3 linked regions of the Arabidopsis thaliana genome follow. The protein of the gene in region 2 binds, or shares a complex with, the protein of the main gene of each other region. Each region holds a gene or a part of one and is shown on either strand. Other genes may lie near its edges.

The links. The genes of interacting proteins can lie anywhere in the genome.
Region 1: SR30 (region 2) and U2B'' share a complex: the UniProt entries of both Arabidopsis thaliana proteins name them as parts of the spliceosome.
Region 3: SR30 (region 2) and SMU2 share a complex: the UniProt entries of both Arabidopsis thaliana proteins name them as parts of the spliceosome.

What each region holds. Positions count from the first base shown.
Region 1 is NC_003071.7:12,904,845-12,909,673, forward strand, and holds U2B'' (U2 small nuclear ribonucleoprotein B), read right to left. Parts: upstream 2,822-4,829; 5' UTR 2,591-2,821; coding exon 2,518-2,590; intron 2,179-2,517; coding exon 2,006-2,178; intron 1,406-2,005; coding exon 1,312-1,405; intron 1,199-1,311; coding exon 1,110-1,198; coding exon of another isoform or gene 1,050-1,109; exon of another isoform or gene 983-1,049; coding exon 713-982; 3' UTR 501-712; downstream 1-500. Other genes in the region: WRKY25 (WRKY DNA-binding protein 25), read right to left, coding at 9-245; AT2G30270 (LURP-one-like protein (DUF567)), read right to left, coding at 3,183-3,308, 3,601-3,801, 3,992-4,213. UniProt on the Arabidopsis thaliana protein: Involved in nuclear pre-mRNA splicing.
Region 2 is NC_003070.9:2,942,038-2,948,584, forward strand, and holds SR30 (SERINE-ARGININE PROTEIN 30), read right to left. Parts: upstream 3,940-6,547; 5' UTR 3,782-3,939; coding exon 3,695-3,781; intron 3,572-3,694; coding exon 3,506-3,571; intron 3,420-3,505; coding exon 3,345-3,419; intron 3,266-3,344; coding exon 3,163-3,265; intron 3,078-3,162; coding exon 3,031-3,077; intron 2,924-3,030; coding exon 2,866-2,923; intron 2,743-2,865; coding exon 2,693-2,742; intron 2,550-2,692; coding exon 2,493-2,549; intron 2,420-2,492; coding exon 2,307-2,419; intron 2,210-2,306; coding exon 2,132-2,209; coding exon of another isoform or gene 2,119-2,131; exon of another isoform or gene 1,528-2,118; coding exon of another isoform or gene 1,491-1,527; exon of another isoform or gene 1,190-1,490; coding exon 1,132-1,189; intron 865-1,131; coding exon 850-864; 3' UTR 501-849; downstream 1-500. Other genes in the region: AT1G09130 (ATP-dependent caseinolytic (Clp) protease/crotonase family protein), read right to left, coding at 1-180; AT1G09150 (pseudouridine synthase and archaeosine transglycosylase (PUA) domain-containing protein), read left to right, coding at 4,562-4,572, 5,173-5,254, 5,351-5,418, 5,520-5,617, 6,137-6,273, 6,356-6,423. UniProt on the Arabidopsis thaliana protein: Regulatory splicing factor that modulates alternative splicing and gene expression in specific cell types. Autoregulates its own expression. Probably involved in intron recognition and spliceosome assembly.
Region 3 is NC_003071.7:11,254,432-11,261,126, forward strand, and holds SMU2 (RED family protein), read right to left. Parts: upstream 4,640-6,695; 5' UTR 4,483-4,639; coding exon 4,436-4,482; intron 4,345-4,435; coding exon 4,204-4,344; intron 4,109-4,203; coding exon 4,059-4,108; intron 3,982-4,058; coding exon 3,867-3,981; intron 3,792-3,866; coding exon 3,743-3,791; intron 3,642-3,742; coding exon 3,552-3,641; intron 3,003-3,551; coding exon 2,934-3,002; intron 2,527-2,933; coding exon 2,403-2,526; intron 1,922-2,402; coding exon 1,515-1,921; intron 1,372-1,514; coding exon 988-1,371; intron 900-987; coding exon 618-899; 3' UTR 501-617; downstream 1-500. Other genes in the region: AT2G26470 (embryonic stem cell-specific 5-hydroxymethylcytosine-binding protein), read right to left, coding at 4,885-5,652, 5,804-5,869, 5,950-6,059, 6,523-6,588. UniProt on the Arabidopsis thaliana protein: Auxiliary spliceosomal protein involved in splicing of specific pre-mRNAs that affect multiple aspects of development.

The sequences.
Region 1 (4,829 bases), on a different chromosome or scaffold from region 2:
TTTATTACGTGTGAGGAGCTGAGAAGCAGAGGAGAATCAAGGTAATCGGAGAAAGTGAAGTTATGAGAAGATTGTGAAATCGGAAGAGGTGGTGGTTGAGCCGTCTTGAACTTAGGTAAACCAGACCCGGTTCTCTCTGGATAGTACCCACCAAAACTCGACCCAGAAACTCTCAAGTCTTCATCATCTTCGTAACAGTCAACGCCGGAAGAACCAAGAAGGTCGGTGAAAGAAGTGGAAGACATGATGGTCTTTAATAAAGGAGACAACTTTAAGATTTCTAAAACAGAGGATTCGCTAAAAAAGGAAACTTTTTTATGAAATTGATCTTGAAATGAAAAAGAGGATAAAACTAAAAAAGAACAGAGGCTTTTAGATTGGGTTAAAGACGACGACGGTGGCGTATTGAGCAAGGTTTTTTTTGTTTCTCTCTCTTCTTGTCTTTTTCTACTTTGGCCTAAATATCATTTTTGATTTTAATATTTCTATAAAATGGTTGACCAGTAAGATATTCTTTTTTGATGAGTCGTCTCCTAATTTGTGATAAATCGTCAAGTGTGAAACCGCGTTTCAAGGGTCTCTTTCAATGATTAAACCAAAACCGGATTAATCCGTTAACCAATAGAACCGTTGGTTGGTTATACACACCAGGTTTGGTTGGTCCAGTACTATCGTCTTAAAGGACAACAAACAAACAAAAACAAGACTCTTATCATTTCTTGGCGAAAGAGATGACCATTGGATTCTGGGGAGTGATTTTGAAACCTTGAAGAGGTTGCATAGCTATGGAAGCTTGAACATCATCTTCGTACTCTACAAACGCGATTCCTGGTTTTGCGTCGATCATTCTTATCTCTTTGAATCCAGGGTACTGTTCGAAGAGAAGCTGTAGCATCATGCTTGTTGTCTCGTGTGGGAGATTCTGAATGAAGAGTATGTTGTTTGGTGGCATTGTTTCTTGCCCGCTCGGCTGGAACGAAGGCTGCATTAAGAAGAGCAGAGATAAAACGCAAAACATCAGCATCATCTCCAGATAACAATAGTTTGGTTCACATGATCCAACAATGGAAGATTTTTCTGAAGATGAAGGTGAGAACAAGAACACTTACCGCAGGGACTCCGTTATTGGCACTTGGACCATTAGCACTTGGGCCATTAGCCGTGTTTGGTCGTTGGGAATCTTCACGCTTTCTTTCAACTGAAAGTAAGAAAGGAAGTTTGTTAACTTTAGATGCAAGTGAAAATTTTATAGTTGTATCATTGAACCAACATCTACGACAAAATGCAAAAAGAAGAAATAAAGTTTAAAACCTTTTTCTTCTTGCTTCCTCTTCTTATCTTTTGGAACGAAAGTTCCCTCAGCTTTAGCTAGACAATCTGACTTTGCTTTTGCATATTGTAAGCGCTGCACTTAAAAGATCACATAAAAAGTATGAATAATAATAAATCTCAACCTGATTGGAAGTAGTTGAATAGTTTACAAACAATCGAAAGAGGTAAGATTTAGTTATAAAAACAATGTATATATCAAACAGAACAAACATTTTGACAACAGAAATCATAAGAGAATGTGATTTGAGAAGGTCAGCAACAAAATCCAAACACACATATAACTAAATGTTGATTGAGAATAACACAGTCAAAGGTAATCATTGGTAATCACATAAACACACTAAGGATTTCTGCTTTTACCGCATCAATCAATCTATACAACACACAGAATATCACTTCCAGGGAAATTATACAGAGATTGATATACTCAAGACAGAAAAGGTAGTGGATACTAATCATTGGTTACTCATCAACAGCAACAAAATCTAAACACATATATGACTACCAATGGATTGGGAATAGAAAAAGGTCAAAGGTTCCAAAACAAATTGTTAGTAATCAATTACACAAACACACTAACGATTTGCTTCTATCGATCTATACAACACATAGAAGATCACTTTCATGGAAACTATAAAGAGATTGATATACTCAAGAGTGATGAAATACTGACCATTGGTTTATCATAGAAGGGAAAATTTTGCATCTGACGAACAGCATGACCAGCAGCAGTGACTTCACTAAAAGTAACCCAAGCTTGTCCTCGGAGCTTCGGAGTCTTCAAAGCAACCACATCAAGTATCCTCCCAAACTGAGAGAACAAACAGTAAAGAGATCTCTTCAATTCTGAGAAAACAAAAACCAAGTCAGATAAAGCATGAGATTGATGATACTGCCCTGAGCCAACACTACTTCACACGTCTATAACAATTATCCATACAATGGCGAAAACAGACAACACCAACATATATATCTTCCTTATAACCTTGTCACTAGATTCAATACGATTCTGAAACCCTAGTATTTAGAAACGAACACTCTATATAAGCTAAAAACAAGCAAAAACCCTAACATTCAGTACTGTAGAAGCTTGAATCATTGGTACAGGAAGTTCATGGAGGTTTCAACATCTAAGAATTTGGAAATTTACTTGACGAATTAGATTAAACGAGAAGAGAAGTTTACCCTCTTTCTTGATCCTTTCGTTGAGGTTTTGGATGTAGATTGATTGATTCGGTGGTATATCTGCCGTTAACATCTTCGAGTGAGCTCGTGAAGACGATGAAGATTCTCGAGACTGAGGAATTTAGAGAGAGCCCTAATGGTGGGAACTGGGAATGAGAGAGACGAAGAAGAGTAAAAGAAATAGCTGCGTTTCAACATCAGACTATTTAACGACGCCGTTTAGTTTGTTGGTTCGATTTCCTAAACTTTTGTACCAACGTGAATGAGCCGACCGGATGGACCGGATTTGAATTTGACCGGCTAGACAGAATTGAACCGGAAATAGAATGAGTGGTCGGGATTGGACTTTTATAGACTCGAGATCAATTTTTTTATTGCAAAATTCCAACAAAAGTCTTGTGAATCATTTTGATTCAAATGTTCAACAACTTTTTAAAATAATGTAAATGATGTTGTATTTTTCCAGCTGAGCTTGCAAATTTGTTCTGAAAAAAGATTTAACCTTAGACCTTAGTATATCTCAATATTCATGTGATAGATAATACAATTCACGTGTGAGCCGATTGAATCAAAAGGCATTAAAAATGCAATGTACTAAAATGCCTTTTTGTTTCTGTGTTACATTTTTCTTTACACTGAGAAAATAAATCGAGGATGTTTCACTTTCATCCTTGAAGAAATATGGCAACCATTGCGACTACTAGTGAATGATCGATGGATCCAGGAAATATCGTTAACCGGAACTTGCTTCTCCCTACGTAAATCTGTCTCAGCTTGTACATCAAACTCGTCTGCCACCACATTTAAAGGAACATAAATCAGATTGAGGCAAATGTTCAAACACAACAACAACAACAAAAATCTTTAAAACAAGTGTATTAGAATCCAAGCAAATTTTACAAGCCTAATGAATCCGACTTCAAATGAACGAAACAAAGGGTTGGTTGTTTATCCATCAGCAAGCATGATCCAAACGATGAGTTTTGAACCCGGTAATCAAAACCAGTATAACACGGTATTGACTCTTGTCTAGCTATAGAATGTTCAATAGTGCTGTAATTGGGAGAAGATGAGTATCTTTACCTGTGCAACAATGGAATCTTGACTATAAATGGTACAAGATTTCTGAAAGGGAACACCTTTGATAACAAGATTTTCGGACGATTCTCCAGCAAAAGAGACCTCTGACTCTGTCTTACTGAATCTTTTCGATGTCCGCTTCACCGTTAGAACCAAATCCTTACGCTTTTCCACATCTCCTTTATGTAATTCCCACACTCCATTCTACATTCCAATACATATACAAAGATCTGTAAGTGTTCTTATGATATATCTCAAGCCAGTGACTAACTAACAAAACCCAAACAATCAAAAAGTATAAACATCGTGTGGACTATGTAATGAATAATGAGATTTAAACAAGTAGCGATGAGAATTGCCAAAATCGATGAAATTTGGGACGAAGGAGGCTTACGTGGAGACGAGAGATGGAGAAGAGAGGAACTCCGGAGGAATCAAGGAGAGATTTCAAGGAGGAAGAAGATTTGCGGAGGATGAAGACGAGATGTTCGGAAGAATCGGCAAATCCGAGATCGCCGGAGGAAAGTCCGGGAAGCTTTTTGGAAGCGAAGAGATCGACTGGTATACGCCGGAGATCCTCAGGGTCGGGGTGATACGGAGTCTCGGAATCAGCCATTTACATAGTCTCTAATAACAGTCAGAAGCGTAAGGTAGAAGAAGAACAAGAGAAGCAGCTTATATTCAACGCCAATGTTTTTTTTTGTTCTAATGATGTCGGATCAGATTTTTTTTTTTGCGGCGAAACATTCTTCTTACACCAAAAAATAATTCAGATGAATAAAATTAAGCAAGTAAATAATTGGATGTAGAAGCCAAAGATAATAAAATAGTAATGATAATTTTCTTTTACGTTCTTGAGATACCAATTCTTGTTTTTTTTTTCACACAAAACTGAAATGCAAAAAAAAAAACTAAAAAGTAATAACACATTTTTTTGATGTTTGATCTTGATTAATAAATTAATAGAAAATGGTAAATGTGTTACTTACATTAGGTTGGAAAAACGTATGGTTTAACATATGTGTTTGTTGGAAAAGATACATTTTTAGTGAACATACCTTTGACATGAATTGATTTATAAAGGTTTTTTTTTTTGCATTTCCATCCCTCTCAAATGTTTGTTTTAAAAAAACTAAGAATTATGTATAATCTTTCAAAATGTATTGATTTTATTTTTTTTTTATGTTTTCTGTAGAATATATATATGATGATCTACTCTGTTCAAAACATCA
Region 2 (6,547 bases):
AGGATCCTTTGGATTTATCGGAGGCATAGGGATTTTGGCAGAGGCTTTGGCGCGAAAGGCGTAACGAAAAGTCTTCAAGTTTCTTCTCCCGGATGAATTCGAAGATAGAGGAGGATGAGGAGAAAAAGAAGAAGAGCGTGGAAGCAGAGAATTCATGGATGCTTGTAAACAAGACGCCATGGTCGAGGAGCTCTTGGACACGGAAGCTCGCGAAAATGGACTCGTTGGACAAAGGAAACCAGAGGATTTATCGATGCTTTCGGAGGGGAGAGAATAATTACTGGGTCGGGTTTCGGGTTGACCCGCTATTTGATATTCCGGCTATAGCCCAAATCACATTTTAGGGAACAGGCCCAGTCGCAATAGACTTTACTTTCGGACCAAATTGCAATTATTCTGGGCCATTTCGTTTACACAAAACTCTGGTGCTATGGCCTATGAGCTGTAGTGTGTTGTTACTGTTGGTAGGATACAGGCAGGGGTTGTACCGTTTTAGAGTGATCTTATCCAAAAACAAAAGCAAGTTTAGTTTTAACACTGCAAGTTTAGTTTAAGATAATCATAAAAGACACCAGTAGTTGTAATGTAAATGTATATGTATGGAAAAACCTCACCACACCCAACACAATGTCTGATGAACTTTATTATGCAGCCGAGACAGAGTTTCCGGCTTTTTAATGACACAATAACAGACCAATTCCAGGTTCACAACTAAAACTAGAAAGACATATTGGTCGTCCCATACAAGAAGACCAGTATAATAATCCCAAATCGGAATCAAATTCTATTAGCAGTGGAGCCTGAGAAGCTTGAGACGATTCGGGTACAGCCAGTGGCCAGTTTTCATTTTCAACCAGATATCACCTGCAAAACATAATATGTAATACCGTTAAGAGAAGAAGAAATGATAACACATGACAGAGGTAGATTATGTTGCTGAAACACTTGGAGAGGCGATTTTTAGTGCACACAGAGGTTGGTGAGACCTAGTCGTTCTAAGACTCTTCAAATTTTATAGTCTGTCTCATGATTTCGTTAAGTTGGTGTTGATTGAAGAACAACCAAAGTGAGCAGGTATTTAAACAAACACCATGGATTGTGAATTAAAGAAGGTTCAGCTTTTAGACTTACAGGTGAAACTGGAGAATTCGATCTTGATCTTGATCTTGATTTTGATCTTGATTGGGACCTGCAGCAAGACCAAAAACCCCATGTAAGTGTGGCATAACAAAGAAATTTACTGACCATCTCCCATCTAGTCCCGGGAGCTTAAATGCTGTCCTAGAAAAGAACTCAACACAGAATCCACTATTGTCAAAAAGATAAATATATTGAGGAATCAGAGTAATCATAGTCCAAAACTTTGCGATCAGATCCTACAGCTGATACGCGCGGAGTACCAGACCAGACCAGACCGTAAAAACAGAAGTTCAAGTTCATGCTAATCCAGCTTTGTAAATCCAGTCCAAGAATCCATCTAGATGACCCATCTAGATCCAATCCCCAGCTCGTAGCAGTGAGCCAGATCTAGAAAACAAACAACGCAATACAATTGTAATCACGGTAAATGATCGAGGACATGCCTCAGAAATCCATCTTCCCCCTTCCGATAGAAATAAATTTTCAAAAAGTGAAACATCTAGCTAAGTGTTCTTTAAATTATAAGTCGGATAATGAAGATTGATACGTAATAAATTCACCGTCGCTGGAAAAAAGTTAAGAAGTAAAGCTTTATCAGAAGGAAACATCCAGAAGAGAACGACACAAAGAGAAAGGAAAAGGACTAAATATGATGGGAGCATCTCTGTCAAGAACTCAAAACATAAAAAACAAACACATTCACGTGTAAGAAATGAAAAGGAACTCTGGTAATCCCAAACAAGGAGGTAACCTTTACCCATATTGGAGTTTGCATGACATAGAAAACATCAACAAAGGAAGAAAATCAAGTGACAATAGACTAGTCCACTATGAGGGAAAAAAGACTCAAACAAATTCAACTGTGTACGGAAGCAACAAAAGGTGCTTAGTTGTAAGTAATAAAGCTAGTAAGGAGTTCACTATGCAAGAACAAGTGATCCATGAAGGGGTAACTACATATATAATAATGATACAAATCTAACACTCATACCTTGAGACAGAGCTGTATAGCGAGCGAGAACGACTAAGGGGCCGTGAACGCGGGGAAATGGATCTAGCAGGTGACACACTGCATTGCATTTAGAAGTCAGTTAATTTCATAAATAAGTTACAATAAAAATCCCTTATATGTCTTAGGTTTATGAAAAAAAAAAAAAAAAAAAGACCTCCTGCTCTTGCTACTATAGCTACAGCTTGGACCACGGCTCCGACTCCTGCTTCTATAGCTTTTAGAATCATCTGGGCTTCGACTCACACTCCTCGACTCATATTCCCTCACCTGAACAGTAAATTCAGAGATGACTCCATATCCACTTATGCTTAACAAAATCAAAGAAAGCAATACAACATACCCGTATATAAGCACTAGAGAAAGCATTTCGAAATTCAGTGGCATCAAGTTTCCTTATCTGTCACATCAAAAATTTTAAGGGAACATCAAAGATCCAACACTGGCCTCCAGGAAGATAAATTCAGCTCGGTATACTATGAAACAAAAGCAGTCTAAGGCATAAGTCCAGGAACATTTGCGTTGCAAAGATATAAAACTTACTGCGTACTTCATATCATCATAGTTGCTATAATCCACAACCCCAGACATGCCTACAAAGAAATACTGAATGTGAGTTTAGCAGTTCAGATGCTTAACACCTATTCTCCTTCACAAAGACTAATTTACTAACACATCAATCAAAAGCTTATCCAAACTATCGAATGTCAACTCACCTTTACGGTCAGGGAAAACTTCAGAGAAGCAGACATCTCCAGCTTTGCGCATGTGATCCTAATCACCCGTAAATAGCAAATAACATCATTTCAGAAAAGAGATAAATCCAAAACATGATATAGAGAACCAACATTCAGAGAAAAAGACTATATAGTGTCCCTTACCTTAAGGTCCTGCCACGAAGCAGAAGGCGGTAATCCGGTCACAAGCACTACATGTTTAGGTAGTAAAAATGAGTTTTCAAATATAAAATTTTACACAACACCAAATAACACAATCGAGAAGACTCTACAAACCGCGGTAGTCAGAGCGTCTTGAAGGTGCACGGCTCGCACTGTAGCTGCTGCTGTACCTATCAACTGATGGTGAAAATCTACGACCACCATGTGCAATCTCAACCTAAAAACATCACACAAAGATAACACCTTTACAAGAAATTACAGAAAATTAAGCTAGCTTTCATCATGCGTTTACTAACCCGAAGTCGACACCCATCAAAATCATAACCATCACGTCCATAAATTGCATCGTCTGCATCACGAGGATCTTCAAACTGCCACCAATAACAAACTATCTTAGTCATTAGCCTATACTATTACAAGAAGAAGAAAAAAACAAATTTGTACTTGATCAATATACCTCGACAAAGGCATAACCAGGAGGTCTCGGTGGAATCTTCAAATCAATGTCCACAATTGGTCCATACTGAAACAAATATACATAAGAGTCGATTTAAATTGTCTCAGCAAGACAGAATTGCAAATTTATGAACCCAAACAAGTCATAATGAATTCAATTTTTATCGAGAGAAAAGAGGAATTTTCAAACCTTGTAGAAGAGATCTTCAACCTCACACTTGCGAATATCTCCAGGCAAATTCCCAACGTAGATCGTACGATTCCATCGGCTACTCATCTGATACCTCAGAGCAGAAAATTAGTTCCTGTAAAAATCTAGAAGAGAAGAAATTGATTACTGGAAAAATAATTTCGAGAAAGAAGAAGAAGAAGATGTTCGAGAAAGCGTTAGATTGTTCTGGAAAGGAGACAACCACCGTTCGTTTGGAAACTAGTATCCTTTTATAAAACGGAACTGGATTTTAATCCTGTGCGGCCGCATGTATCAACGATGAATAGCCCAGTTGATCAAGATCGGCCCATATGTTTTAATGGGCCTGTTAATATATTGTTCTAACCGGATCGAATGTGTTTTTTCTTATCATTCAAACCGGAATATTGTATGTTAGTTATTACAATTCGAACCAATTTCGAATCGGATTCGGACCATCGGGTCATTCATTCTCCTAGGTTTCCTAAACACTGTCGTTTTTGGACAAAAGAGACACTAGATCGGAAACACTTGGGGATTTTTTTGAGAGAAACATTCTCTCGGTTCCTCTACTACCACCTCTCAAATCTCAATTCGCCGATTAGTAACTCCGTCCAAGACCATTTTCCGCCGTGACACCGTCCACGGTCTCTCTCAGTCCGTGAGTTCCTGCTCTGTTCCGTTTGGTTTTTCTGTTTTGGAATTTCAGTATTTTTCCTATTGAATTTGTTGCGATATGATGTCCAAATTTTTGGTTTGTTGAGTGATGTTCCGATATTTCCGTTATCAATCATCTTCCACTGTTCGCTTGCAGGGAAGAAGATACCATAGTTAGAAGCTGGTGATCATTTTCAATAAACCTCGAACATGTTTAAGAAGTAAGCATCTTTGTCTCTTTCTAGATTCTTTCTCTACTTTTTTATTTAGATAGAAACTGTTTTTCATACCCGGATTGTAGAATCTAAGAATTAGTGGTTTCAACATCTCGGCATTGTTTATACTAGTTGATAAAGAATGTGATGGTCTCTTTATTTAGTATCCACTTACTCTAATAACTATCGAGAACTCACTCCCTTCTACTTGTTGTCGACCACATTGTTAATTTGATTGCTTAGAGTAGCCTTGGTATGGGCATATTGGTTGTTATATTTTCTTCAAAGTAGAAGGTTTTGAGTTCTCAAAAGCTAACATCTTGCTATTGTAAAGTTTTGGTTTCTATATTGATAGTGTCACTATTTGATTTATCAAATCTGTACAAAGAGTCGTGGGTCATAGAGGAAAGTTTGTGTCTTGATTTGACCAGTCTAAACTCTCTACTATCATGGAGTTTGTGTTTATCCATCTCCTGAAACATGCTTATACATTCATAGTGAATCTTGTATAAAGTTTATTTTTCCCTACTGCTATCAACTTTAGATCTATTTGATATACCATTATGTCTATGAAGGTGTTATTTATGTTCACTACTTTTTATTTAGGTTTTGTTTGGAGGAGATTTCATCACAAAACCAAGTGAAGGCATCTGTTCAACGTAGGATCCGCCAGAGTATCCAAGATGAGGTATGTCTGTTGTTTCATTTGTCTTTTTCCCCTTCTTAAACTTTTATGATTTCGTGAAGTTTGTCAGATATAAATATGTTTATGTTAATGTTGCAGTACCCGGGACTTGAATCAGTGATGGAGGATCTACTTCCCAAAAAGATTCCTCTTATCGTAGTGAAGTGGTCTGTAAATTAACAAACTCATATTCATTGTTTTGTTTTCTGAATTTTCTTTTACCCACTATCTATGTCTTACAGTATTCCTGACTATATTTCTCGTGCAGCCCAAACCATCTGACCCTAGTTGTTGTCAACAATGTCCCCCTCTTCTTCTGTATCCGTGACGGGCCATACATGCCAACACTGCGGCTTCTTCATCAATGTAATATCACTTTTCCTTCACACCATCCATGCTATATGGTCTTGTTATCAAAACATAACATATCTGGGTGTTTTATTCATACAATCACTCTTCTTCACACCTGTTAGTCTTACTGTGGTCTGCAGTAGAACTTACCTGGTTCAAATACTGCATATACCTGAATAGTATGTCCGACACTTTTCTCTGAGTTATTTAGAACTTCCTGGGGTTTGGTTCCTGTAAGTTGTTGTTCCTTTGGCTTTTTTCATGCGAGTGAACTATATAAAAGGTCCACGTATGATTGGTTAGCCAGGATTTTTGTTTAGTATATTTTGTTTTATGTTTTCCGGGTTAGCTGACCCTTATCATAGTGAGAAGGTTTTGGCATTGGCTGTTACCAGAAGAGTATAAAATATTCTTGAAAACACCACGTTCAGCTAACTTTTACATACTTGAATGATACATAGAAAGAAACTTGGAGTTTTTTCAATTAGCCACGAATGTCAAAAATTTGGCAGCTGAATGTTTGGAGTTTTGCAGACCCAAATATAATGAAGAGGTTTCAAGTTGATAGAGGTGCCATAAAGTTTGTTCTGTCTGGTGCAAACATAATGTGTCCTGGTCTTACATCCCCGGGAGGCGTTCTGGATCAAGAAGTCGAGGCTGAAAGGCCAGTGGTATGAATAAAAACAGTATTTCCCTGGGTTGCATTTTTGTTTGTATATGCTGATCTTAAACCATGAATCTGTATTTGTTTAGGCCATATATGCAGAAGGAAAGCAACATGCCTTAGCAATAGGCTTCACCAAAATGTCAGCAAAGGACATGTAAGTCAATTTTTCGCTGGAATTTATTTGAAAATACAAACATGTGCTTTGATATACTTTCGTATCTTAGCCAAAATACAGTCTCTTGGCTCCAGGCCTCTCCAAGTAACCCTATCTTTGTCAC
Region 3 (6,695 bases), on a different chromosome or scaffold from region 2:
ATTCAATCCTTGGTTTTCGTTCAACACATATCTCGCAGTCGAAAGAGCGTCTTCGTCGTTGTATTGGTCAAACAGAGGACTGTCCCTTTTCTATGGAGATTGGTGTGAAACAGAGGATTCTTACATCGTCATCTTCGTCGTTGTATTGGCCAAGATCTATGTAGTTTGTGAAACCGGATTTGAATGGAGTTTGAGAAGAGTGTATTGGCCAAGATCCTCGACGGAGATGGCGTCACGTTTGGTTGAACCACGAGCGGAGAGAGGTGTGGAGAAGATGAAACGGTCGGAGTCATTGACGGTGGCTGCATTCATGGAATCTGTGGCCATTTTTCTGATTAGGGTTTTATGATTTTTCTAGTTTTTTGCTTGTCTTGTTGGGTTGGTTACTGAAGCGTCTCATTTTTGGTGATGCTAAACCTAAAACCTAAGGCTGTCCCAACTCCCAAAACTGCTTCGTGTTTAATGGGTAATTAGGAAATAAGAATGCTATCATTTCAAAATTTGGACGTAAAATCTTTTCTAAATTAAGAATTTGAACTCAAGGTACCAAAAACCTAAACAGACTTGAAGATACAAAATAGATTACGAGAGAATGACTGGAGTAGACAAGAGACAAATCAATGCTTGGATCTCTTAGGAGTTTGTGCCTCGGCGGCATCCAAAGAAGCAACATCCCCACCCTCCTTCTCCATCTTCTTTCTCGTAAGTATCTTATTGATCTGGTGAAGTTCATTATTGAGCTTCTGGTCACGGTCACGGTTCTGCTTCCTTGTCTTTCGACCATCTTGCATCTTTACCCCGAATTGGAACGCCGCTTTTGGCATCGCTTCCTTCTGCTCATTATATTTTTCCCATTCCTCTTCTGTCTCAAAGTCCCATCGATGTAAACCACCCTTTGCCTGTTCCATGTACATTCAACAACCAGATACTGTAATTTTGCTCTTCCACAATAAATAACAAGGAACATGTAATTAAGTCAGGGCATACCTTTCCACCCATGTCCATTTTAGACAAATCAGGTTCTTCATCACTACCGACAATCTCATGGTTGTACTCTTGGTAACCTGGATAACACTCTGAATAACTCTCGGATACAAAAGTTGGATCTTTCTCCCTTGCGTCACTCTCCCTCAACTGTTGAAGCCTTTGGTCATCACGCTTGAAAACCGATCCCAAACCCCTATCTTTCTCTTCCTGCGACATGAGTTGAGGATCTAGTAAAACATCGGTTTCTGGTTGGACCTCGTAACCCTCCATTCCAGGTTGAAGGTACTGCTCCTGATACCCAGTTTGCTCTGCATATTGGTATTCCTGCCACTCTCCGGGGTACCCAGGAGCCAGTCCTTGAGTTTGCATTGCACCATATGCACTCTGGAAAAACACACAACCACCAGAAAAAACCTAAATATGGGAATAAATGACATCTAATAACTACATACCAAGACGCAAAATTTGCAGACGAGGATCAAGATTTGAGAATAAATACAACCAAGGATTAGCTAGGGTGAACTGACCATATCTTGCCATTCCTGACCAGCAGATGGCTGCACTGGACCATAAGCAGGCTCAGCGAAATAAGGTACCTTCTCCTGCACTGGACCATAAGCAGGCTCATCGAAATAAGATACTTTCTCCTTATCCCTGGGAGATTCTTCCATGTCCTCAGAAATAGGACTCTGTGTCACATCTTTACCAGGAACCGTGTAATCGACGCCTTCACCAACAAATATGTCATCATCGTCTGTCCTGGCAACAGGGGGTTCTTCTTGTTTCGTACTCAAATCCAGATGGTTTATCCCAGGTGGTAATGGCGGAGGAGGAGGTAAAACTTCCCTGTCACTTATGTTCACAGAAGATCCATTCTCAATCTTAGATTTATTGTCGTCTTCATCATAATCATTAGCAATAGTTGACATCTTTCCTGCATTTGAAAAGTTGCAGTGGATGTGATTAATAAGGCAAAATAATATAAAAAATGCATGAACGTATGATAGAATAGAAATTAGCAAATTATCTTGCTAAAGAATCAGAAACCAGCCAACTTGTATCCAATTGTATGCTGATGTGAAACAAGAACTACAACATGTACTGGCACCACATTAGCATAATAAAAATTACTAACAACAGAGTTTACAGAACCATCAAGGGACGGCAGCAACATATTTATGATACAACTAAATTTCTTCACAATTGATAAGCGAGAACACAACCAGACATCAGTAGATACTACTAGTACTGTGGTCAAAGACTAGGTACACTCTTTACATTCTTGGCTCCAAACTGTAAGACCAGATAATTAACAAATTTCGGGAAAAGCAGAGAACTTATTTAACCAGTGTAAGTGAATCAGGTCTGCTAATACTTAAACTTTACAAAAAAATGCACCAGTAGATGCAAAATACCTTTCCCATCTTTTTCTTTCTTTTTCTTCTTGAGAACTTTCCCCGACGACCCAAGGCGAAGATATGACATGATTTTAGCAATTCGATCTAGCACAGAACCATCAACATTGACTGTGACAAATTCCTGTTGGGGAGATAGGACAGAGAAACAGTGCCTGTTAAATGAAACAATTCTCGCAAAAATTGCAGCAGTGATTTCAATTATAAATTTTTATTATGTTCAGTAAACAAACATATTAAGCAACGTTAATTTTGGTTCCAGATTAGTAGAAAGAAAGTTGAATTTAGTTTAAAAAGATTTTTATAATTACTTAAAGAAAATCTATGCTTCTACCAAAACTAATGACTTATATAATCGATATTAGCTGTATTGAATACATCAACACTGTAAAAGAAAATAGGTTGCAGAGACAGGCAGAGTGGGCTTATTTTCATTAGAATCAAAACGATCATGTCACATCACTGCTTACAGTCTAAAGATTTTTCCAGGATCAAGAAGACTATTACAACAAGGACTCTAAGTATACATACCTCGGGCACCGGGCAGTCAGCTTTACTCCTATATAACGTGGTCGGTATGTCATGGGTATAGCCACCTTCCTGAAAAGCAACAAATAGAATTAAAAACAAAAGGGAATAAAATTAATATACATCAACAGGGAGGCTTTCAAAGGGCAGACTAAACCCATACTATAAGCTTAGCCTAGCAGCTTAGCTGAGACTAAGTATCTCAAAGGAAACTTCATACGTAACACTACCAAATATCAATAGTATATTCAACTGACTTTTCTTGTCGTATGGTGTCTCTATCTGCAAGAGAAAAAGAATATGCTTCTTCAAGAAGAGCAGACACGTTAATCGAACTAAAAAACCTTTACAACCAATTCTGCGTATAAGGTTTCTAACAAATAGATTAAATCGTGAATAAATCGCTAACAAGGTAATGCAAAACAGCTTAAGCTACCTTCTTAAAATTTTCCTGAGACATGTATTTAAACTAGAAGCGAAGATTTAACTAAATATTAACTAATACTCGAAGAAGAATCGTTGAAGCAGAATACACATGTATGACTACTTCCTAAGACAAACAACGACATAAGAACATGTAATAAGATTGAATCTTCCTGAAAAAGAGTTAACAAGCAATACCATATCATAGACAAATGTCATTCTACCGGGAAGAAACATCTCATTAGACTTGATGATAGTCTGAGGCTTAACAATCCACTGGTAAACTGACTGAAACAGATCAAAGACAAGAGAAACAAAAAACATCAAGCGCGTTAACTACATCCCAAAACTTGCTCCTCATCTGCAAAGTTCAGAACAAAATTGCATACCTTTGCAGCTATGGTACGGAAAGTAACTCGCTGATCTTCCTTAGGCGCACTGTTAATATAGTAAAATTAGCACTTGAATCAAAGAAGCCAAATGAGTCAATAAACCAAGTATAACCAAATCTACCTAGTCTTCCCACCATCACCATCTTCACCATCAGGTTTCTTAACGATTTCGCTTCGTACTTTATTCAACAAAGCATAATCCAAACCCTTAACTAAATGGGTATGTTCAACATCACCTAAACCATATCATAAAAACAACATAAGCACCTCAAAAAAAAAACATTTTGAATAAATTTGTAAACCTAACACAAACCTCCAAGATATTTGCTGTTCTCAATAGATATCTTAAGTGCATCAGCAGCACTACAACAAAAAAAAGTACACAGCAACAGAAATTTAGAGAAACCCAATTAGAATTTAGAAAGATAATGAAGTAATCGAGGAAAGACAAGTGCTACCGGATATCGACAGCTCCGGGAGGAGCAACGGCATGGAAAGAACTAAGCTCTGATGGATCATAATCAGGATTTTGATTCTCTCTTCTTTCTTTAGCACGATCTCTGTATTTTGGATTATCGGATTCCTCTAGTTTCTCCTCTCTGTGAAGGAAAAGTGACGAGTTTTGATGTTTTTGTGTAAAAACCCTAGCTTTTGAAGAAAAGGGGAGAGAGGAAAATGAAGATTTCTGACCTCCGACGAGCGGTTTTCTCCTTGTGATGCGATTTTGAAGGTTTCATTAGATTTCGTTAATTCGATTTCTTGTCGTGAAACAGAGAAAAATCAGATTTTGGCTGAAGTTCTTCGTTCTGATGATATCTGTGTCTGTTTCGATTTCAAAGCGTTGGTGGTTCTGGTCAGGGGAAATTAGAATTCGATGTTTAATTTAGAAACCGGATCTAATTTAAACCGATAAAATCGTTTAGCGACCGGGTTTGATTATCGAAACCTGGTTCACAAATTTTTACCATCCACCAAGGACATTAAAAACCCAATTCATTCATAATAATATTACCTTAGATCAAAGATCAAACACTACACATACAATACAAGCAACATTCCCAAAACGATGGTCTTATCTAACATTATCTACAACAAAAGTAGGCCAACATGGTCCTCATAGATGTTATGTAGACTCAAAACTATTTCTCATCGAAAAAGAAATGTAATGTAGACTGCGTCTCCTTAGATTTCTTGATGTTAGATTTCCCCATTCCATGCATCTTTCCTTGTTTCCCACTGCTTTTAACATTTTGCAACCTCTCATAGTGTTTCTGTGGCTTTTCTTGAGCTGAGAATACCTCATAGTCTCGCTTTGTCCCACTCTTTTCGCTAAACACTAAGCCACCTTCCTTCGTCGTCGGGCTAGTTAAAACTGTCTTCTGGTTTTCATTTCCTGGAATATCTTCGACAGCCTCATGCAGCTGATTCAATCTCTCATCTGCAGTAAAGAAATGATGGCTTTGAGTCTCGGGTTCTTCTTTTGAGATTCTTTGGAGATCAAGGATGTAGGACTCAGCCGGTATACTGGCACTGCTCTCACCTGTTTCTTTAGTAAGACCAGTCTTTAGGGATTTGCCTTCTTCCTTTGTACCCTCCTGAACATCATTCTTTACAGGTTCAGGAAGTGACGCAACTGCTGAGTTATCTTCAACAAATGGTTCTGCTTTCACAATCTCTTGAAACTCCAGATTTTTGGCTACATTCGACATATCTTTCTCCCCGTCTAGTTCTTCAATTTTCTTAATGCTGTCAGAAAACGTGTCCTTTTCAGCCGTAGGTTCCTTTTTCAAATCAACTATGATATTTGCATCTGTTGATTTGGTTTCTTTGTCTCCTTCATCTGTTTTGGGCTGCTTTGTTGAGAAAAACTTCGAGATCAAGCTATTTTGTGAAGTCTTTAGCGGTATCTGCAGGTGGCATAATCCTTATTTGAAATGACAATAAGCATACAGACTGTACAAATACATAGTGATCCTGACAATATGTTTAATGCGACTTGAGATCAAACTTGAGATTTGAGTTGTACACTACTAAGAAAGGGAAAGATGTTAACCGTACCTGTTGAATACACTCTGGTCCATCAAACGTTGGTTTACCAATTGCAGAGGTTACTGGATACCATACCTGAAAGTTCAAACTTCAATCTCAAGTAAATGAAAAAGGAAAGACCACTCTTATATGCGAGGAAGTAAGCAATTGCATACCAAATCCGATTTTTCATATGGTGAAAGTAATGGCTGCAGTTTCGTTGTCGAGGGATCATCTAACCATGTGTCGATTGAATCCTTATCACCAAGAATTACAGGCATTCTGTCTTACATGAAAAATAAACAAACTCACGTGTTAACACAAAAATTCAGGGCTGCTGCAAATCAACAAAACAATCATCAACAGCCGCTAATAATGTAAGCATTGTATAAGAAACGCTACTCTCAATATTAAACTACCTTAAACAGCCACTGCTTGTTCTATTCCAGTACTTAAAGAAGTTAAAGATTCTCATGCAATTACATATGTATCTTTTCTAAAAGAGCTTATCAAATCAGATGTAATACGAAAACAGAAACAACTCATACTACTATGATAAGTTTGTATCTTTATTAATGTGCGGGTTTGATTAAACCTCATTTTAAACAACGAGGAACACAAGCTTCAAGCGTCCATAGACAAATATACAATTCCCAACTTCATATGCTATGTGTTTCATTGTGCTACTGAGAATCATTACTGAATAAGAAAAAATGTCACACGATGTAGCCAGTGTATATATTACTAACCATGGAGCCATTGGAGGGCTGAAGAGGAAGCGGTTGTCAAAATCGTAAAGGTGTAAAGTGTCTCACCTGCAAGAAAAAAAAAGTAACTGTTACTTAAATTGAAAACAGGCGAGATATTGTAGCTACCAAAAAGGACATAAAACCAAAGACTTAAATTCATTCAGCAAGTTTTG